Pelodiscus sinensis: one gene and its partner. The main gene of each other region encodes a partner of the protein of the gene in region 2 in a complex. Links are inferred from orthologs where the notes say so. Each region holds a gene or a part of one and is shown on either strand. Other genes may lie near its edges. The genes, in order: ACVRL1 and BMP10.

Region 1 (11,437 bases), on a different chromosome or scaffold from region 2:
AGGCTGTGCCAGCCACCTTTCATTCATACCACACAGAAGAAGCCAAGCCTCTTATATGTAAGGATAGCCAGACACAAGAGAAGCTACTGCCCAAGTCACTAGGCTGTGTAGCAAGGCTGGATCAAGAATGACCCCAGGGAGATCAGTGTGGTTTCGCTCTGGCACATTGCAAATGTAGGCGCTAAAGGGTTTTCTGACATCTGAGAAAAGCAGAGCCCACAAAACCAGGAGTCAGCAAGAGAAACAATCATGATACTAACCCGGGGAAGCAGACACCTACTGCTTGGTGCGCAGGACTGGCTTGAGACGCTGGCTTGGAAATTCTGAGTAAAGAAGCCGCCTGCTCTTTTTTCCTTCATTCATTATAAATAAACCAAGTTATAGCAGAGAAATCCCTAAAGTGCATCGTTAATTTCTCCCTTAATGCAAACAACTAGGTGAGGCGCCGCATATTGGCAAGCTAATCAGGACAGAAGAGGCGACCTTATCTTGTCTTGACCCTTTGCACCGCACATACATAAATAGAGGTACCAGGTCCTCAGCTTCCGTAAATCATCGTAGCTCCGGTGGAATAAATAGAAGCACATTCGTTTACACAAGCTGAGAACCTGGGTGAGGATAGTCAGTTAAAGGAACGTCCATTCCACCTCTTCCACACATGTGCTGGACTCTCATTGCTCATTAAAAGTGCTGTCATACGGGTGGAACTCGGGTAAATATTGCATTTTATTAATACCAGCAGAACTGACTTAAATGGGGCCTGTGTATTGTGCAATCTTGCCTTAATCTTTGTATTCATGCCCGTCAGTGTAAAAGAAGCTCTTTGCATATATTTATTTATATATATTAAAATCCCGGGGCTATGAAATCGCCCAAAATGGACGGTGAATTTGGCAGGACCTATCACAGATGCATCTCTTAAGAATGTGGGTGGAGACTGCAAAGTTAGAAAGCTGGAAGAGTGCTCCGAGCTGCCATTCCCCACCGGCCACTGTGGCTCAGAGCACACAAGGAAGCAGGGCTCTGAATGCAGGCAGATGACTTGCTGTCTCTCCTTGGCCCTCTTGGCCCCACTCCCGTCTCCCACAAGCAATGGGCCGGCCCAGGATCTCACTGTCACTGTAAGGCCAGCTCCGCTCTTCGCGCAGCACAGAGCTGGTTTTATAAATCTGGGGTGTGCTTAGTACTGGGGAAAGGCGTCAGATAGAAACCCCCGAGGTCCTCTCCGTACTGGACCAGCCTGTAGGCATCCTGCCTGCCTGCCAAAACCTGGTTCCAAATCCAAGTGCCCCCTTGGAGAATTTTCCTTTAATGGAAACAGTTGCCTCTCCAGTTCTATCAGAAGCCCTAATGGTGCCATGGGAGGACCATCTGAGCATGTGACAGCTCAGGCTTTGTGGCTCATTCAGGCCTTGGTCTATCTGCCTTCCATGATGGTGGTTTCTGGACTTGTGTCTGGAAGGAACTTGACTGTGTCTCACCAAACTCCTGATGCCAAGAGCCTCCAGCACGTTCTGTTCCCATCCAGCGGGCCTGGATTCTAACCAGCCCCTGGGCTTGAGACACGCGCGCCCGGTGCAAAGCAGGTCTCCGAATGGCAGAAAGGCAGCGCCTTGCATTGTGTAACCACCCAGCGCGGCCAGGAATTGTCCCCAGAGGACATGACCGTCCTGTGCTGGGTCTCAGAGTTGGGCTCCAGCATGGGCCTGGAGAACTACACTGCCATTGGACAACCCTGAAGCCTGAGTCTGCAGACCTGGCTAACCCCGGCTGTGCGGCATGCCCTCGATCGCAGCGTAGATGAGCAAGACAGATGTCTGGAAGTCTCCGTTTTTGGGATCCTGATCTTGGGCCTGATTTTCAGAGGTGCTGAGTGTGGCAGTGTGTCAGGGACCCCCCTAATCCTGCACCCCATCTACAGCATGATGAGACTCCACCAGCCAGTAGAATAGAGAGGGTTTATTGCTTCTCCAGGATACAGCACAGAATAGACGTGACATGGACATAAGGAGTTGGGGGCTGGCAGTCCTAGACCCCTTGGGGCAAGGGGACATAGGCCCCTCCACTCCCAGCCCTCTGCTTAGTCTCTTCTCTCCATGTTTTCCCAGTCAAATTAGCTCTTCCCCAAAACCACACCCTTCCTTTGTTCAAACTCCTTCCCTCTTCAGTAAGAGCTGGTTGGGCCATGGTCTACACATCAGGGCCCTCAAGGCAAACCCACGCTGGGCAGTGCTTACAGACAGAGGCCAGTAAGGGTCATCCACAGCCCAAGCATAGCACCCAGCTTACCGCAGGGACACCCCTGATCCTACCTGCCCCAGGGCCGCCAGCTTTCTGCTGTTTCATCCCATCCAGGCCTGACTTGAACCCACACCCCTGTCCTCCTCAGGAGAGCACCCTAGGCCACACAGGAGTCTGCCCCACTACCTTATGGCACTCACCTGGGAAGGATAGGGTTGTGGGTTCAAGTCCTGCCTCCCCCAGGTCAGGACCATACTACATTACACAGAGCCCCCTAACTCCAACTGAAGTCTGGGAGCTTTGGGTGCTCAGCACCTCTGAGAATTGGACCCCAGAGGGTTTGGCGATTGAGACCTAACTCTTTCTCCTCTTCCAACACCCTTCCTCACCTGAGCTACTAGCTCCCTTTGCACCATGTGGGCCACACTGGAGAACAGTTTAATGAACTGATGCGAAACCAAAGCAGGAACAAGACTCCTCAACAAAGCAATCCCCGTCCCCCCCAGTCAAATGAGATGCACGGTTTGTGCAGTCCCAGGCGCACCAGGGCGAGATCTAGGGTTAGCGCCCAGCAAACCCTGAGCAGAAAAGCCTCTTTTGTTTATCGCATGACCTGGTTCCTTATTTTTCTTCCCTGAGAATCAGTAGCTCCCAGCGCACATGAGCGCATGGCCCGCAACCCGTGTCAGCCCTGTGCCAGGAGGCAGCAGATGTAAGCAGTTTCCTGGACACAGCTGCTTTCGGCTGGTGTTGGAGGTGCCGAGGTTCCCCCTGAGGTCAGAGGCAGCCGGGGGAGTGCTCAGCCCTCGACAAACCAGGCTAGATTTGTTGCTAGATCATGGGTTGCTAGATCAAAAGCCCACTGAACTCAGTGGGAGTTTTTCTGTTTAGTTCAATGGGCTTCGAACCTAAATCGGAGACCTGCAGAGATTCCCCTCCTCCCTCCGGCCCATCAGTACAGCGCTGGCCGGGGGCACTGGGCAGTGACATCTACCACTGACGCTTTCGGGAGCTGGTCACTGGTGTGCTCCAAGGCACATGCTGTATCCCTAGGGCTGCAGACAATGCAGAGTTGGAGCCAGAGATCCGATTCACCTGGCTCCGAGGTCTAGTTCAGGCCCATTTCGGAGCTGAACGGAGCCCTAGAGGCTGCCCCGGCATTTGTTCCAGAAACATTGGCATGCCTGGTGCAACGTGCCCAGAGCCAGCAGATGCCTTGAGCAGCCGTGTTGCACAGCACGGGCTCTGTGCTACCCTGTGCTCCAGGCAGTTGCTACACTAGAAATCAGAGAAACAGGTTTTGTTATTTAAAAAAAAAAAAAGAAAATTAGCCCAGACGCCCCCTCCCCACCCACATGTTTATTTTCTCTTAAATTCTCTGTGGGAGAGAAACAGGAGGACCAGGCTGATTTTTGGTTTGTGCCGAGAACGGGAAAGGGATTTTTTTCGAGCCTGGAAGCTTTTTAGAAACAACAAACGCTGCAAAGCTCTCTGACCCCCTCCTGGGATGCGTGCCCCCTTCCAGCCCCGAATATCCTATCCAGCTACAGGACAGCAACAGCCCCTTCCTTGCACACCCCAGTGTTCCATTTGCTTTCTCCACATGGCGGGACATTACGCTAAGGCCGAGCTACCTGACTTTCTTTCCTGAGCAGTTTAGGAATTCTGTGCAGGGGAGGCGTTCTATCCTAGGCTGAATTTCATTTGCTACCATGTTGCCCGTTCCCTCAACTTGATTAGGTCCCTCTGGAGCTCCACACGGTCTTGCCTAACCTAAATCATTTTGTGTTCTCTGCAAATTGTGCACTCTGCCTGGTTTCCTTCGTTCCCAGATCAGTAATTAATATAATTAAATAACATCAGCTCCAAAATAGCCCCTGCTGGTAACTTGCTTTGGTGACCATCTCTTTGTAATCTTTGTTTTTCCATCTCTTACCCAATTTCTGACCCAAGATAGCCCTTTGCCTCTGATATCTGGGCTACTGAGCTGCCTCAGTAACCTCTTATGAGGAACTTTGTAAAAGGCCGTTTGGAAAGTCTAAATGAATCGTGTCAATTGGTTCTCCTTTGTCTGCTCTTTTATAGAAAACGGTCAGGAATTTGAATAGCTTGGTGAACAGAGTTTTCCTTTTCAGAAGCCGGGGTGCTTCGACTCTGTCATATCAATCATTTCCCAGTTCTTTGTAATTCCATCATCTCAACTAATTTACCAGAATTGAGTCTGCACTTTGCTACATTTCTCCTAACGCCTTTTGGAAATAGCTGCAAAACATTTGCTACTCTCCAATCCTACCGTCTGGCAGCAAGATTTTATTGCACGACTTGTCCCGCGCTAGATCCATTGCACAGCCTATCATGGTCGTTTACATAGTGTGTCATCTTCTGAAAAGGGACTCAGGGCCCGTTTCTGACTTCAGTTACCATGGTGTCAATCCAGAGCTATCCCACTGATGGCAACTGAGACAAGGCCTGATTCTAAGCGCAGCAGTGCAAGTCCTGCAGGCTTCAATGTGGTTACTCTGATTTATCTTCAAGCCACAGAGCATATCTCAGAAGCAAGCAGTGCCTGAAAGTGGATCTGAGTCTAAAGCGGAGAGTCTCTCCTCCATCGTGGAGAAAGGGGGACCCAAAGAACAGTCTGATGCAGGAAGCCAACTGGGGACAAAACAAAGGGGGTGAGGCCGGGGCTACAATATGGGGCAGCTGCTGTGAGCGAGCAGCGCTCTCCCGAGAGCTGAGGAGCGGCCCATTTAGTTGCACGCGTTCCGCTTTTGGTAGCAACCTGAGAATAGCCCGACACCCCCAGAGAGCAGTTCATTCCAACTCACCTACGGCTCCTTCCCTCTCATTGACAGCACCGGCCCAGAGGAGAGGCTGCGTGTGGGCGGGCAGGCTCTGCAGCGCCTCTGGAGACGCAACGGAACCCTGCCTGACCCAGATCCGGGCGTCTTCTATCCGGCTGTCTGTCTGCTGCCAGTGGGGCGGTGCTGACCGGTTCCCGGGGCCAGAGGCAATTCTCCTTCGGTTACAGAGTCTGGATCCCAGGCTTCGACGGACACGGTTCCAGCTCCCCCCAGGCGCTGCGAGCTTCCGCCTGAAGCAGATTCACGGGTCAGCCTCCGTCCTCCCCTCTCCACGCAGCAACCTTGCCAGATTTGCAAAGGGACGCTGGCCCGGCAGAGCTTTGGCTCTGGTGGTTACTCCAGCGGCTGTCGCCTGCCCTAGTTGGCGAGAGGGGAGTGTGCCTCTAGCTTCCCTCCCCAGTCCCAGGGGCTGGCCTCTCTCTCCCTGTGGCCCAAACGCGGCGGATTGGCAAGATCTCTGAGTTCTGGATGTGGGAGAAGTCAAAAAATGTTTCTTATTACTGCCTCTTCCTGCCTGGCTTTTCTCCACCACTCCCAGCTAATAAAGCATTTCCTATTGCTGAGCCTACAGCCACAGCCTAGCTCCCTTCCTCCTGCACACACCGGCCCCTGCTCCATCACGATTGTTCTCCCTCCCTCCCAGGCCCCGGCCAAACAACTCCCCCCCCCCCCCCCCGCCAGGGTGTGTGGCTAGGCCGTGTTCCCGGCCCTGCCTCAGTCTCCCGTCAAAACCAGCTCTGGGACCTGTGTCTGAACCCAGCCTCCTCAGGGAGCAGCCAGGAGCCTAGGGTTTGGCAGCAATCGAGCTGACTTAGTTTACTTGGCCGGAGTGGGAGCAGGCGAGGGCATTCTGGGAGCGATTCTGGTAGCTCAGGTGGGGCCAGTGTAGGGGTGACTTGTGAGTGGGGCTGGGAGGCAACTGGGGAACGTGTTAGTAGCAACGTATTGGTGAGAAGCTCTGCTCCTGTCACTCTAGACTGCAGGGTTTTTTTGAAAAAAGTGGCCTTTTTTCGAAAAACCTTCCCCTGCGTCTAGACTGCCGCCGCGTAAATGGAAAGAACGCGGCAGTTTTTTCGGCTGTGAAAAGCCTCGTTTTACGAAGAATAATGCCTTTTTTCGAAAAAAGGCGCTATGTCATGCAAACTGTGCTCTTTCGAAAGAGAGCATCCAGACTGCCTCGGTGCCCTCCTTCGAGAAAGCAGCTTGCTTTTTCAAAAGTACTAGTAGTCTAGATGCTCTTTTTCGAAAGAGGCTTGCAGTCTAGACATAGCCTCTGTGCTGAGCCCAGTGCCGTAGGGCAGGGCTAGGGGGCGCTGTGCTGCAAGTGACTCAGCAGAGGGCGCTCTGCCCTCACGGTCAATGCGGACCCCAATGATCCCTAGGGGGCGCTGTGCTGCAAGTGACTCAGCAGGAGGCGCTCTGCCCTCACGGTCAATGCGGACCCCAATGATCCCTAGGGGGCGCTGTGCTGCAAGTGACTCAGCAGGAGGCGCTCTGCCCTCACGGTCAATGCGGACCCCAATGATCCCTAGGGGGCGCTGTGCTGCAAGTGACTCAGCAGGAGGCGCTCTGCCCTCACGGTCAATGCGGACCCCAATGATCCCTAGGGGGCGCTGTGCTGCAAGTGACTCAGCAGGAGGCGCTCTGCCCTCACGGTCAATGCGGACCCCAATGATCCCTAGGGGGCGCTGTGCTGCACAAAAGTGCAGGGGTGCTCTCCCAGTGCCCCAGGGCAGGGCTAGGGGGCGTTGCGCTGCAGAAGTGCAGGTGCTCTGCCCGTATGAGAATGCTGCCCCCAGACGCCATTAGGGCTGGGCGTGCTGTCGTTCACAGGGGATGCTGAAGCCTAGTCCCAAAGACTCCAGGGCCCCTTTTGCAAGAGTCACATGTTAACCCTGGTGTTCAGATTCCCACGGGGGGAGGGGGGAGAGCTACTTCCGGCCTAACCACAAATGTCTGTGAAGTTGCTCTGTAGCACCAGGCTTGTGTGGGTGGCTGGCACAGCTGGCAGGGGCTCGAGGGGGACCGGAAACACCACTTCCCCTTTAGCCTTTTTAAATTCATTTTTCTGGGTCATTCTCAGTCAGCTGCTTCTCACTCTTCCTCTCTCCCATTCAGGGATCTCTCCTCCCACCTCGGGCCTCTCCCCGACTGCTCCATCCTGGCCTCGTAGCTCATCCATTGGGGTAGGAGCAGGGGGCGGGGGGCCACGGCTGGACCGGCATCGCCTCCTGTTTTGTAATGAAGTCACTGGCTCTCCCTCCCGTGTGACCGTGGAACAGCCTGGTATAACACAGTGGAGAGAGCTGTGCTAGGTCCCAGTGTAGACACAAAACTGAGCTGCAGAGATGTGATCTCTACAGCGATATCCTGGGCCCACACCTTGATAGCGGAGGGAAAGATGCTTACTTACAGTCACGCGGTGCTGGGACCAGAACCCAGGCATCCTGCTTGCTGTAGCCACTAGGCCGCCATTGCTCCCAGAGCGAGGAACAGAACCCGAGGGTCCCGACTCCCATCTACTGCCCTTATCCCCCTGTAACTAAAACTTTGATGCATCAGTTGCCTGTTTGGCCCTGCCCGCTCGTTTTTCCAGATCCCGTTTCATTCTGGTTTTCAGAACCTGCTGTTTCGGTCACAGGCAAATGGCCACATTTGACTCTTTGTCTGTGAAAGACTCTTGCCTGTGGGTAACCATGTGGCGCTTTCAGTTCCTTGCAGGTTGGGGGGGGCCGGATTTGTGGCCCCAGAGTCCCTGGAATTTGTGCAATAAACGGGGCCGCTGCTGTGCTGAGGGGGAGAGGAAGGCTGGGCCTGCAGAAAGCTGCCTGGGCCGCCTCTGGTTCTCCAATCTCATGCACTAGCTTTGCTCCTGCTCTGAAATCCCAGCAGCCTGATGAGAGCAGTGCCTCCCAGGGCTGTTCCTCGCCCGCCCGTGTCCCAGGGCGGCAGGCGCATCGTGTCCTACCTCGCTCAACGTGGAGCGCCCGGGAAATCCGACGGAGTCACGGGGACGGCCCGCCAGCTAACGGGAAGCTCAGCGCCGGCCGGCCTGGGGGTCTCGGGCTAGAAGGCCCAAAGGGAATGGGGGGCTGGGGGGGGGGTGGGGGGAAGGTTCAGACCATGAGAAAGGACAGCACAGTCTGGGCGGCGTAAGGAAGCAATTCTTGACTCTGGTTCTAACCAGCCAATGGCTGGAGCCGCTCCCCCTCCTCCATGCGGCCCTCTGGGAGAGAGGAGTTTGGCTCTTATATAGCACCACTGGATTCTTTTTTAAAAAGGTCGAGTTCAGGGCTCGTTAACTCATTGTTTGCTGGAGGAATGTATATAAATAGAGAAAGCCTCTTCAAAGGCATCAGGCCAACATGCCCACAGCCAGATAGACCATCCGGATGGGGCCAGCACGAGGGGGGCGGGGGCAGAGGGGGACAGGGAGATGTGGGGTGTTCAGGAGTCAGGCCACGCCTCTTCCTGACCCTGTTCCACCCCTGCCCTCCCACCCACATTGCACCCTCTCCCCCGAGAGATACGACACAAGAAATTACTGGGGGGCTGGTGCAGGGGGCAGCAGGGGTCGGGGGCTCCCCCTTTCACTGCGGCATAAAGCAGAGTGACCCAGCAGCCTGCTCTGCTCCACTGCCATCTCTCAGCTGGTAAATGGAGCACCCTGAGCCCTGCCACCTGAGAATGGTTGGAAATTGCATCAGGGCAGGGCCTCAGGGCCAAATTTCTGCTACACTCTGCCTCCAAACCCAGCCTCTCTTTGGAGACTCCCCCGCTGCTGGGAGAAGCCCAGGGCCTAGGATACACATTGGAGCCGTGGACAGCAGAGATGCACACACACTAGGGTGGCCATCGAGGTACCTCCAGAACAGAGGACACTTGCATAGAGTGCATAGGGGGCCCTGGACAGGGAGCTGTGGGGTGTTCAGGAGTCAGGCCGCAGGGGTGGGAGGGGGGGCAGGGCTGGGGGCTGTAAGTAGCGTTTCTAGATGATTTTGACAAAAATACCAGATACACCTGATCTCAGATGGGGGGGGGGGAGGAGCAGGGCTGGCGCGGGAGATCGAGGGGAACCGGCCGGTGGGGAGCAGGGCTGGCAGGGAGGAGGTTGGGGGGAACCGACTGGTGGGGAGCAGAGCTGGATGTGAGGAGGTCGGGGGGAGCAGGGTTGGTTGTGAGGAGGTCGGGGGGAGCAGGGCTGGTTGTGAGAAGGTCGGGGGGAGTGGGGGGAACCATCCAGTGGGAAGCAGAGCTGGCAGGGAGGAGGTCGGGGGGAGCGGGGCTGGCCAGGGGAGATCGGAGGGAACCATCCGGCGGGAAGCAGAGCTGGCAGGGAGGAGGTCGGGGGGAGCAGGGCTGGATGTGAGGAGGTCAGGGGGAGAAGGGCTGGTTGGGGGATATCGAGGGGAACTGGCCGGTAGGGAGCAGGGCTGGACGTGAGGAGGTCGGGGGGAGCGGGGCTGGCCGGGGGAGATCGGGGGGAACCGACCGGTGGGGAGCAGGGCTGGACGTGAGGAGGTCGGGGGGAGTGGGGCTTGCTGGGGTAGATCAGGGGGAACCAACCGGTGGGGAGCAGGGCTGGCAGGGAGGAGGTCGGGGGGAGCGGGGCTGGCTGGGGGAGATTGGGGGGAACCGACCGGTGGGGAGCAGGGCTGGCAGGGAGGAGGTCGGGGGGAGCAGAACTAGCTGGGTGGGGGGAAGTGGGGTGGGGAACCGTCCGGCGGGAAGCAGGGCTGGCCCGGGCACACGCAGATCCCAGGGCACTGCCCGTCCCACGCACGGTCCTGGCGGAGTGCACGGGTGAGTCTGGCCCAGGGGATTCCAGCCCACCCCGCCCCCGCCCCCGCCCCCACCCCCGCCCCCTCTCTACTGCATAGCTGTGCACTGCCTGGCTGGTAGACATGTTCATGCAGTGTGAGCGCGGCTACCAGCCAGGCAGTACACAACTACATAGTGATACTCATGAGAATAATAAAACTTATTTCACTAGAAAATACCGGACATTTATACGTTTGGTATTTTCTCTATTTGTTTCCTGGACAGAAAGCTCAAAACCGGACACCCTGGTGACCGTAGCTGTAGGGGTGAGTGCAGGCGGGGGTGCCCTTTTGGGAGGACGGGCGGGAGGCGAGGGGAGGTGGCAGCTGCCCATAGTAGGTCGCTGCTGCTCTTCTTCCTCTTCCTCTTCCTCTGACTCTCGGGGAGTGAGGGGAAACCTCACAGCCTGCTGCATCCTCTTCTGCCCCGGCCCTCCCCGGCAGCTGGGAGCGAGAGGAAGGCACACGCTGAGCATTTTCCCCTCGCTTCCTGATAGGGGAAGAGGAAGAAGACCCTGTACGTGTGGCTGCAGCCCTCCTACCCCCCTGAAAAGGTGCCGGGGGGGCAGGGCCGGGGCAGCCCTGGATGGGGGCAGGGCACGCACACACCCCAAACCCTTTCTCCTGCCTGGCTACCTGCCGCTTAACAAGGCAGCCTGCAGAGCCCCAGCCGGCTGCTTCTTGCCGGCATGCTACACCAGGGCTCACCGGCTTCCGTTCACCTCTGGTCTTGAGAAGAATAGAGGACATAAAGGCACCCTGCTTTGCATGCATACAGGACGGAGGCCAGAGTCGCACGTGCTAGTCAGCCCGATAAATCCCCTTTCTTCAGTGCAGCCAGAATCCAAGTGTCCCCCTGATGCTCCTGTTCTTGCTGGTGCTCCCTTCCCCTGCCCGCTGTCAGAACCAGGCGAGCTGCACGTGCGGAGCAGCTATCCGCCTGCTCCATGTGCCGCCCGCCCCCAGCCCATATGTGTGCGGAACCAGCAAGCTGGCAAAGGAAGGAAACCACACAGGGAGGAATCTGAGAATGAGCCAAGGGAGGAAGGGGAGCAGTGTGAGCTGCTCTCCCTATGGCTGTAGGCCTGTCCCTCCAAAACGCCCCACCAAAGGTCAGTCGGAGCCTCTTGACACCCCTGTTCTCACCACTCCTAGGCAGCCACCTCTGGGGAGGAACACAGCAGCTGTGTCGCATCCAATAGCAGCAAGACACAAAACAAGCATCCAAATCCCCAAAGGGCTATTTTAGCCTGGCAGGGAGACAGAGGGAGCCTAAGGATTTAGAGTCTCAAGGCCTGAGGGCAGAGGCAGCCTGCCTGGCACCCAGCAAAACGAGACCTAACCCCCCAAATCAAAGGTTATTCTACATCCAGACTCAGAGGGCTCTGAGCACGGGGCCTTTTAACCCTCCCCCGACCGTGGCTGGTAGCGGGTGGAACAGCCTTGCTAGATACACCCCCGTGTCAATGGGAAGCTGCTCCCTGGGTTCTGCCTGGCCATCTCTGGGCCACC
Region 2 (11,082 bases):
CTCATAAATAGTATGATCTCCTTTTCCCTCAGTTCATCCCCAGTGCACAGTCCCATACTCCTCAGGTGAATTTGTATCTTCACTGGTGAGTTGATACAACACATTAAAATCCCTAGTGCTGATCTGCTGTCTTGGATGCAGAGTGCACAGATCTCCCAGTGGCAACAAATGCTACCATAAACTTCCACCAGTGACTGAAGAGTGTGACCCTCAAGGAAAGAGACAAATTGTTTAGGGTGATGCAAAGGCTTGTAACTAGGAGGAATGGGAACTCGGGTCTTGGGCCAAGACCCAATAAAGCCATGGAAATATTCCCATTGACATCAGTGGTGTTTGGATCTGTCTTGAAAAGAGCAAAAGAAAACTACTGTACATACTTAGCTTTTGAGAGTATTAATGAATCAGATGTATAACAAACAAATGATCATCTATCTATTTATCCATCATGTTTATACATGCCCCATCTGCATTTCTTCATACATATGGGCAATTTAACAAAATGCTTTGTATTTATTGCTACATTTCATTCAATAATGACTCTGAAACCAGGTTGGGAAATAGAGACTTAGCGGACATGCTGACAGGAGCTGAGGGGATGGACTGCATGGATCCTGTACATTTTCCCATCTCAGATTTCTATGACTCTGGGATTGATACATTTATGGAAACATTTGGTTGACGAAGCTACAAATATTGGCCCTGAGCTAGCGAAGCACATCAGCACATGAATAATTGACTTTAATCGGTCTTTGGAATTTGTTGATGTTTGTAAATCCATAGGCTGTCTGTCTAGTGAATGTGTCCCACTTCACAACTGGAAGTGGCACCAGAACTCAGTGATCTACAGCCCCTCAGCCCTATCGCCCACCTCCACCCCCAGGCTGCTGGAGAACAAGTCCACTGTTATGATGATACATATGGTCTTGGGGTGGGGAAAAGTCACAGAAAATGGACATGAATCAATCATTGGAAGGGATAGAGACACACTCTTGTGGGAAACTGGGTGTCTCGCTTCCTGATTAGGGAGAAAAATAAATCAGAACTGGCAACTGCCCACAAGACAGACTGAGCAAGAAAACTCAAAGGGTCAAATACTCTTCACTATTTCCTGTACATCCTCATTGGTGTCAATGAGGACACACTGGTGTCTGAAGGAGGACAAATTAGCCCAGAAAGCTTTATTTCAGTTTTTAAGCAACGACCACATTACAATCCAAGCTGCAACAGAGCCAGACAACTCCATGAGCTAAAACCGCTAATGAACAACTGTCATCAAGTTCTACTGCTTTCAACCATGCAATTTCCATTATCATCATCTACTACCACAAGCTGATGAGTATAAACATTGCACGGTGTGATCTGTTCCATCTCTTTTATCAGTAATAAATGCAAGCACTTTAGTTTACTCATGTGCCATATAATCCAGGTTCCCTAATTGTTAATGACTTTTTAGACATACAAAGCAGAGACAATTGAAATAGACCCTCTGTGGTATACATGTGCCTATGGAGAGCATTTGCATTAGAATACAAGTATCTGAATTTATTTCTGAAGTTGTGGACTAGAAGAAAGGACAGGAACCTTCTGAGAAGGTAGTAAGTTACTCTGCATTTGACATTGCCATTGCAGACTTTGTGGTGATGAACACGCTGCTTGGAAACTGTTGTGTTTATGAAAATTAATGGATCTTTGCATTGTTCCATTTACTAAAAATGAAGGATGGATTCTGATGTCATCAATCTACTATATATTTGAGAGAGTTTGTGTGTCTGTGTTTCTCTGTCCATCTGTGAGTCTGTTTGTTCAAGAACTCCTCCTAAACAGTAAGAGCTAGGAACACCAAATTTGGTAGGCAGCTTCCTCTTATCAAAACTTAAAGCAAGGTCAGGGTTTGGTTGTGCCAAGACAATGGGATGTGCCTGGAATGTGAGTGTTTCCCACAAAACAGAAAGGGAGGGGTCTGCTAAGAGGGACAGTTATAGTGTATAATGACCACAGGGGGACAGCAAGGGGCCAGAGATGGGGAATGGGACAGTTATAATCCTATTGGGGCAGCAGTGCACGGGGTGGAGAAAAGGATAGTATCTATTATATATTTGAGAGAGTTTGTGTGTGTGTCTGTCTGTCTGTGTGTTGCCCAGCTGGGAGATATGCACCCCTCCCCCAGCAGTTTCCATGAACAGGCACTTCTCCCTGGCCCCAAGCTGCTGTGGTGACAGAGGGCTGGGGTTATCCTCTCTCCCCAGGGCAGCCTGCACACTGACCCCCCCCCCCTCCCGAGAGCAATGAATCAAATGAAGAAAAATTAGTTCATCTGATGACGTGGGTTTTACCCACAAAAGCTCATAATATTCTATATTTGTTAGTCTCTAAGGTGCCATAGGACTGCTTGTTGTTTTTAAAATTATTTCAGTTAAGGACTTGAGCAACAGTGGGCAAATCCTCTAAGTAGCAATATAAATCTGGAATGATTCTATTGTAACTAATGGAATTACTGCATATGTACACTAGTAAAACACATAGCATTCTCCACTCAGTATACTCTGCTTTCCCAATTACAGTCCATTAGTTTTCCTATTACTTTTCATCTTAAAATTGTAAGTGTCAGAATCATTATTCCATATTCCTTCAGGGCCAGATTGTGAATCCCTTCTCTACACACAAATTGCCCTGAGGTCTTCAGTATGCATAAGTCACTTTCAGTGCAGCCCTCAATGAATTAAATGCTGTCTATATGTAGAAGAAATGCAAAGTTAAAGTGGATTTGAACTGTAAAGCGGAGCCTTTTAAAACCAGAAACATGTAGCTTGATAAGAATGCATGCGTCTGAGCAAGGTATAGATTAGCCCACAAGCAGTTATAGAATCTAAAACTGAGTTGTCAAATTTAGGTTACATAGGCTCAGTCTTTGCTCTGTTATCTTGTAGTTGTGAACTTCATCAGTAAAATTGAGACTGCTACTTTGGGACATAATGATTTTCTGAAAAGCCTTTTCAACCCATATTCCATATTGGTACTCATGCATGAAGAATCAGTAATAGCATGAGAGCTTTTTATTCCCCGAATTGTGTAGAAATTTCAGGAAAATGTTGAATTGCGCAATATTCGTAACAGTCTAAACTCATAATTCTATAAAATTTTAGTTACCTTTTTTGAAAAAAGGCATGCATCCCTGTCTAATCACTACAAATTTTATTCTCTCAAAAATAAATGGTGAGGCAAAAGTTGTTATAGAGAGATGCTAGCCGCACACATTTCTATATATTCTACTGACCTTATTTTACACAATAATTGAGGAACTAAATTGGGAAAATATTTCCAGAAAGCCATTTGTTGTTTGGTTGGGAATCCATGAAGAAATTTGGCTTTCCAAATGAGAATTTGTACTATTGCATGGGTGGTGAAAGAGGCCTTTTCTCATTAATCAAATAAGGAAGATAAGTTGCCATCTCCATTTAAAAATCGGATGCGTATGAAGGTAACATATAAATGATGCATATGCTTCCTGGAACTATGACAATTTATTTATAAATAAATACACCCACAATACACAAACACAAAGGAAGACATTGCTCCTGCCCCAGAACGCTCACTGGCTCAAGGATATAAAATAAGGAGGGCGAGATTACATCAGACAAGCAATGTGAGCTGTTCATTATAGACACAGGCCATGCTAGTTCCCTAGCTCCAGTTGCATCTCTATCTAATCACTGTCAACTCCTTTTCTCCCCAATTAAGTCGTCTTGCTCCACACATTGGGAAGAAGTGCCTTGTCGGTTCTGAGCAATGCCCAGTTATTCTTCGTTCACAGAGGAGCATGGATCTTACCTTCATTTTTGAAGCTTCTAACAATATTTGCCGATGGCATTGAGGTCCTGTCAGTGGCAAACCTGTTGTACAGCTCTAACATGTACTCTGGGGGCTCCACCTTAGACTTTTCATGCAGGGGAATGTCAGAAAGGTTCAGCGTCTTCAGGAACTCATTTTTCATGTTCTGAAGCAGCGTGTTGAAATCGACACCTTCCTGCTCTGAAAGGAGTTCATCAAAGAGGGGCACATCTTCTTCCAGGGACGACTGCTCCAGGCTCATGATGGGGCTGCAAGCAGCAAGGTGCACCAGCAGAGAGAGGGTTGCCCACAACTGAATGGCAACAGTATCCATTCCTTCGCGTTAGCGTCCAGCCGCACTCACCAAGGTTTAGCTCTTGTGTGCGCTAAGTGGCTATTTTATCCCCTGGTTTGTGCGCAGCTTGTGTCACAGACTTGACAAGTTTGGAAGCCCTTGCCTGAAACTTGTGATCAGTCCTCACTCTCTCTCCCGCCTCCCCACACACCCTCCAAAACCAGGTCTCAGTAATTGGATATAACACACGCTCGCCTATGGTAGCCTTGCCTCTCTTATCTCTTGCAGTGTAAGCTGTCCACCAGATTTTCTGTTGCTATCTCACAAACCCCCTTTCCCTTAATGAGCATTTTGTAAACATTCTGCACTTGGACATATTGAGATACGACAATTTTCTCCTTGGACAGGATCTGCCCTTTCTTTCTCCCTTGGAGCTGACTTTCTTTGGCATGTATGGCCAAGTTTTATCCATGCAACTTTGTTATGCTTTCAGGCAAACATGCAAATGACACAGAGCCTACGTCTAGGATTTTGTATTCTGTACCAACAGTAAACAAAAGCCTCCTTCAATATTAAGAGTTAGTAAACTCTCCAGCCCAAGGAAAGTCTTTACTTGGCTGAAAAGCGCTTTGAGGCAGGGCCCATCCTTTTGTTCTGTTTGTACGCACCTGCACAATGGGAGTCATGCCTGTGGCTCCTAGGCACCCTGATAATATAAATAACAAACAATCTAAACACCACGGGAGGTGCTAAATGCAGTGAAACTGGTGTGATTCTATCAAGCAGTAGGAAGCAGAGAGTTTGCGCTCCTTGCATCTGGGCTGGTGTGTCATGCAGGGCTTCCTTGTGGAAAGGGGCTTTGGGAACAGGAGAAACGCAGGCAGGGATGAGGTTGGGCATGGCCAACAGAGCTGTTCCTGGTTCTCCATTTTGCCCCTGGGCTGCCACCACCAGCTTGTCCTGTACAAATAGAAGGCAATTAGCAAATGTTTTTAGTGGTGTTTATTTTAGCTAAGTATCAGAGGGGTAGCCGTGTTAGTCTGAATCTGCAAAAGCGACGAGGAGTCCTGTGGCACCTTATAGACTAACTGAAGTGTAGGAGCATAAGCTTTCGTGGGCAAAGACCCACTTCATCAGATGCATGTAGTGGAAATTTCCAGAGGCAGGAATAAATATGCAGGCCAGGATCAGGCTGGAGATGACCAGGTGGATCCAATCAAGGAGGATGAGGCCCACTTCTAGCAGCTGATCTGGAGGTGTGAATTCCAAGAGAGCAGAAGCTGCTTTTGTAGTTAGCAAGCCATTCACAGTCTTTGTTTAATCCAGAGTTGATTGTGTCAAACTTAAAGATGAACTGTAGCTCAGCAGTTTTTCTCTTTGAAGTCTGGTCCTGAAGTTTTTTTGCTGCAGGATGGCTACTTTTAGATCTGCAATTGTGTGTCCAGAAAGATTGAAGTGTTCCCCTACAGGTTTTTGTATGTTGCCATTCCTAATATCAGATTTGTGATAATTTTGTATATTGCCATTTCTAATATCAGATTTCCTAATATCAGATATTTTAGCTAGTTATTCTCTCTAGAAACCACAGGTTCCCATTGAACACCTGCTGTTCTGGGGACGGGCTCCACAGAAATGTGTAGAAACAAACTCAGCAGGGAGCACTGAAACAATTGCAACTGGCTCCTAAAATGCCGCCTTTCTCCCACGCCTCTTATGTGTCTGGCATGGCAGGTTACATTCACTCAAGCTCTGTTCCATATGCTGCCGTCATACCATCCCCCGCCAGAGAGCTTTGCTGTAACTGGCATGAAACTAAACTTCAAGGGACCTCTAGTCTGCTGCAGAGACACCAGCATTACTTCTGGCCACATCAACGCGCCGTGGCTCAGGGGCAGGATGTTATGAGCAGATCGGGTTGAAAACCACAGCACAGTTTTCATGGAAAATGTTCAGTGTGTTTCCGGAAAAAACAAATTCTGGGCTGGGGTGTGGGGATGGTCAGATTTTTGAAATTTCCAAAAAGTTTGAGGACTGCAGACAAATGAGTAAAACCAAAGCAACCATGTAAGTTGAAAATTGTGACCATATCTGTCTCTGTTCTGGCCCAGTGTTCACAGGGAACTTCCCTGTGACAGGAAAATTAGAACGCATGCCTTTTGAGCCAAACACCCAGCCTTCCACCCTTTGATGCAAAGGAGAATCTCTTTGTTAGTAGCAGAAGGTGTCTGACTTCATTGTGAGGTATATCTGCAAGAACTAAAGAGCGCATGGTTTGACTGAAATAGCAAAGCTCTGTTGGGGCACGTCTACACAGCAGGGCAAAAGTCAAATTAAGATACGTAACTTCAGCTATGTCAATTGTGTAGCTGAAACCAAAATAGCTTAATTCGGCTTTACGCACTGTCTATAAAGCAGGAAGTCGAAGGAAGAGCACTCTTCCTTCCGCTTCCCTTACTCCTCGTGAAATGAGAGTTACAGGAGTTGTAGTAAGAAGCCCTCCAGCTTGACATTATTTCGAAATAACGGCTTGCTGTATAGACACTCATTTTCTTATTTCGAAATAACATCAGTTATTCAGAAATAATGCTTCTGTGTAGACATGCCTTGGACAATTCCACTCCTCAGTTAGGACTGAGCACATCCTGTCCATTTGGTACATCTATTTATTGTGACTGTCCAGATGCTGTTTCTTCTCAAATAGGTCAACTGCCATCTTGGCACAAGGGAAACAACTCTAGCTCACTTCACGATGCAATTTTGAACAAGGATAATTGTATTTATTCAGATTATATTCACAGAGAGCACTGTTCATTAAGAGCACCGAGCCATATATTTGTGTGTCCCTTTGCTATTTTGCTTCATTCAGAAACTCTCCTCTCAAACAGCTTGCCTTTTTACCACGGCAGTTTAACACAGTAAGGGCTTGTCTACACTACAGAGAAGACTGTGGCTGCCTCAGTCGATCTTCCGGGGTTTGAATTAGCGAGTGTAGTGAAGATCTGCTAATTCGAACTGAGAGGGCACTCCCATCGGTGCCGGTAGTCCTGCTCCTACGAGGAGTAAGGGAAGTCGAAGGGAGCATGTGCTGCTGTTGACCTCCTGCGTGTGAATGGTGCCAAAATGCAATTTAAGATATTTTGATTCCTGCTACATAATTAACATAGCTGGAGTTGCATATCTGAAGTTGACTTTCTCCTTTAATGTAGACCAGGCCTAAATGACCAACCTAAGGCTGTGTCTAGACTACATGGCTCCATCGATGGAGCCATGTAGATTAGGGTTGTAGGCAAAGGCAAATGAAGCCTTGATTTAAATGATCGCGGCTTCATTTAAATTTACATGGCTGCCGCGCTGAGCCGACAAACAGCTAATCAGCTGTTTGTCCGCTCAGTGCGCTAGTCTGGACGCTGCCCTGCCGACATCAAAGCCCTTTGTCGGCAGCCCCGTTATTCCTCGTGGGATGAGGTTTACCGGGGCTGCCGACAAAGGGCTTTGATGTCGGCAGGGGAGCGTCCAGACTAGCGCGCTGAGCGGACAAACAGCTGATCAGCTGTTTGTCGTCTCAGCGTGGCAGCCATGTAAATTTAAATGAAGCCACGATTATTTAAATCGCGGCTTCATTTGCCTTTGCCAAAAAAACAAATCTACATGGCTCCGTCAACGGAGCCATGTAGTCTAGACATACCCTAATTGACATCCAATGCTCTGGTCATCTGAAGGAATGGGACATGACCACAAAAGCTCATGATACCATCTACATATTTTGTTAGTCTTTAAAGTGCTACCAGACTATTTGTTGTTTTTTAAGTTTTTCCTCATTTTTATTGTTACACATAGGTCCACTCAGAAGCAGCTGATCCTGAACCTTGAAGGAGCATTCAGAGCAGGATCTGAATTGCATGGCTATCTATGAGTCTATGAGCTTGTGGTTTTGTGACGCTGAACAGCCAAAAACTTTGTGAGATTTTGGATCTGAATCCCACTGATTGCTATTTATTCAAAAAAGTGGACTCGCAACCTTCCTTTTTTGAATGATTCATCTCTTGGCCATGCAGCACTGGGGAGGTGACCTTACATCCATAATGAAACGGAGATTAAGAAAGTTACAAATTAGTGCTGTCGTGCCCCTCCCAAACTTAATGAATATTGGCTTATGAATATGAATATGCATATTATGAAGATGCTTTAGACATATATATATGCCTCATATAATCTATCAGTTTTAATAGACAGTCTGCTGAATGTTTATATACTATTTTTGTGCATTTATCATAAGAACATGAGAATGGCTGTACTGGGTCAGACCAAAGGTCCATCTAGCCCAGTAGCCTGTCTGCCGACAGTGGCCAGCACCAGGTGCCCCAGAGAGGGTGGACCGAAGACAATGATCAAGCGATTTGTCTCCTGCCATCCCTCTCCAGCCTCTGACAGACAGAGACCAGGGACACGTTTCTATCATTCTTGCATGTGAAGTTGGAGAACAGGCCCCCTGGAGGCAGATGGGAGAGCCTTGGCAGGGAGAGAACAGCCCCTGGTAGGCTAGGGCAGACTGGGGGGAAGGAACAACCCTCACTATTGCCCCCCTCTGTCTACTGCATCCTGCACACCCTCCCCTCCACATCACCAAAGCCCTACCTTCAAGGGCCTGGGCGACACTGGGTAAGTCTGCTAGTTTGGCTATAAAATCACAAAGCTTTACAATGACTGGCACATTCTGCAGCCAGCAGACACCGTTGCCTAAGTAAAGGCTGGAGCACATGTGGGAATCTGACACATGTCTCTGAAAGCTACAAATGTGCCAGTACCTTGTTACAAGCAGAATTACAGCTCAACCATTGTAAATTTCTTCGTGTTTCCTTTCTTGTTTGAGAACTTGTTGAACACCTCATGTAAGCAACACAGCCTACTGCTGAATGTCTTAGCTCACATGGCTTAGCCTCTGTACAGCTGTTGGTGGGTTGCCAGATGTACAGTACCACTAGATGACATCTGGTGTAAAAGCAGTTTCCTGTTTCCTTTGCTTTGGAGGATGAAGAATTTAAACCATGCAGCCTTCTTGCCGAATTAAAAGGCTGAATTGTAGACCTAGAAATGTTAGTTAATTTTTCCTCTAAAATTCATTTACAAGAATGACATGGTTTTTTTCCTTTGAACAAAACGCAGAAACCTATGCTAGCTGGAGAGGCAATATTCCTGATCCTTCCTATTGTTATTAGAACAGAAGAACAGCCATATAGGGCCAGACCAAAGGTCCATCAAGCCCAGTAACCTGTCCAGTTTAAAAGAAAAACAAAAAACCAAACCCAACCAAACCTCAGTGATGTGGCCCCCGGCTGAGGAGAAAGACGCTCCCTACGTTCCCCGCACATACCAGAGCCTAGGGGGAGCAGCCCAGTAGACTTTGTGTGCTCCAGCCCTGCAGGGAGACAGCAGAGGACTGGAGCCACAGCGAGGTCTCCCCAATGCTGGGGGGGGGGAGCCCTGAGTTGCAGCAGCCAGATCCAGACAAACCGGGGGCCTCATTCAGCCCCCAGGCCTTAAGTTCCCCATCCCTAGAATAAACAGAAAAAGTGATCCACCCACTGTCACCCATTCTCTGCTTCTGGCAAACAGAGGCTAGAGACACCATTCCTGTCCATTCCGGCTAATGGCCATTGATGGATCTGTCCTTCATTAATTTATCTAGCTTTTTTTTTAACCCTGTTATAGCCTTGGACTTCACAACCTCTGGCAAGGAGTTCCATGGGTTGACGATGTGTTGTGTGAAGAATTTTATTAACTTTATTGCATAAACAGTGTGCTTGTTGGAACAATAAGTGATGTGGCAGGTAGGCAGTTTTGCAGGAAAGAACTCTTTACTGGGCATGCCAGTCTTAGATGCAGACAAACCTGGGATGGACTGGTAGCAGCCTGGCCCAGTGGCTGGTGGTACCTTTTTTATTATTGGTAGCTAACCTGATAACCTGCCCAAAACACAGTAAGGCCCCTTAGGCAGATTCAGGTGAGGGAGTAGCATAAAAACAGAAAGATCATTTCAATTAGCACTCAAGAGCGCTCAAAAAAGCACCGCTCTTCGGCCATGTTTATTTAACAGGTAGTTATTTCGGGATTAAAGCAAATCAGCTGTGAACATAGGGCCTTACCCCACTCCCACTGAAATCCACAGAAAGAAACCCATTGGCCTCAAGGGGACTTGCATCAGAGCCATGGGGTTGCTTACAATGTTCCTTCTAATCTTTTCCGTCCATGTATGGATTTTGTCCATCTCTGTGTGTAATACATTTTATGTGCACTGAGGCATGTGTGGATGTGCATCACCAGCAGGCACAAAAACCTATCTGTGGGGGCTCTGCTAATTGGCTGGGTGGCATTTGAATCTATCCTGAGTGGCTGTAAAAATGCCATGTAATGTATAGTGCAAACGAAATTTTTTATTATTAATGATACTGTAAATTCCCTTCCAGAGTGCTTGCCAGAGATGTGTTATGTGACAAGCCAAAAAGCACAGAATTATAGCGATGCGTAGTAAAGTAGAGCTAATGACAGCTCAAGCGTCTTTCTAGGCTTAAGATCACAACGGGAACAGGGAACAATGTCTCCTCAGCATATGTTGCCCGGCTCATTGAACAGTATTTAAATGATAATTCTGACCTTCCCTTGGGAATATTGACCTTTGCCGGAGGTGGGATGAGCCCCAGTCCAATCTGACATCACAGTTCCAATGTGCCTATGAGAATCCATAGACCACAGAAAGGAAATACTGAGCACCCTTAACTGCTGTTGACATCAGTGGGAATGGAAGGTGCCTGGCTCCCAGGAGCAGCTCTGCTTTTTCAGAGGATCATTCCCTCATGGAAGTGGCTCTGAAATGGAATCTGATCCCTGGTTGCCCACACCTTCTGCCCCCTGGGTTTCCCCTCCCAAGAGGCAGTGCAATTGCAGTGGTCTCTGAAGGAATG

What was found.
Region 1: the proteins of BMP10 (region 2) and ACVRL1 are in contact, whole or in part, in a crystal structure (PDB 6SF1), measured with the Homo sapiens proteins. The link is inferred for Pelodiscus sinensis from reciprocal best matches to the Homo sapiens genes BMP10 and ACVRL1. Residues at the interface, in NP_055297.1 of Homo sapiens: Tyr322, Asn357, Tyr358, Pro359, Ala361, Glu362, His363, Pro366, Thr367, Lys368, Ile371, Leu375, Leu378, Lys379, Ser381, Lys386; in NP_000011.2 of Homo sapiens: His40, Val54, Val56, Arg57, Glu58, Glu59, His66, Gly70, Asn71, Leu72, His73, Glu75, Leu76, Phe84, Val85, His87.

Annotation. Positions count from the first base shown.
Region 1 is NC_134729.1:5,529,474-5,540,910, forward strand, and holds the start of ACVRL1 (activin receptor type-1-like), read right to left. Parts: upstream 5,708-11,437; 5' UTR 5,070-5,707; intron 1-5,069. UniProt on the Homo sapiens protein: Type I receptor for TGF-beta family ligands BMP9/GDF2 and BMP10 and important regulator of normal blood vessel development. On ligand binding, forms a receptor complex consisting of two type II and two type I transmembrane serine/threonine kinases.
Region 2 is NC_134738.1:906,010-917,091, forward strand, and holds the start of BMP10 (bone morphogenetic protein 10), read right to left. Parts: upstream 4,443-11,082; 5' UTR 4,163-4,442; coding exon 3,829-4,162; intron 1-3,828. UniProt on the Homo sapiens protein: Required for maintaining the proliferative activity of embryonic cardiomyocytes by preventing premature activation of the negative cell cycle regulator CDKN1C/p57KIP and maintaining the required expression levels of cardiogenic factors such as MEF2C and NKX2-5.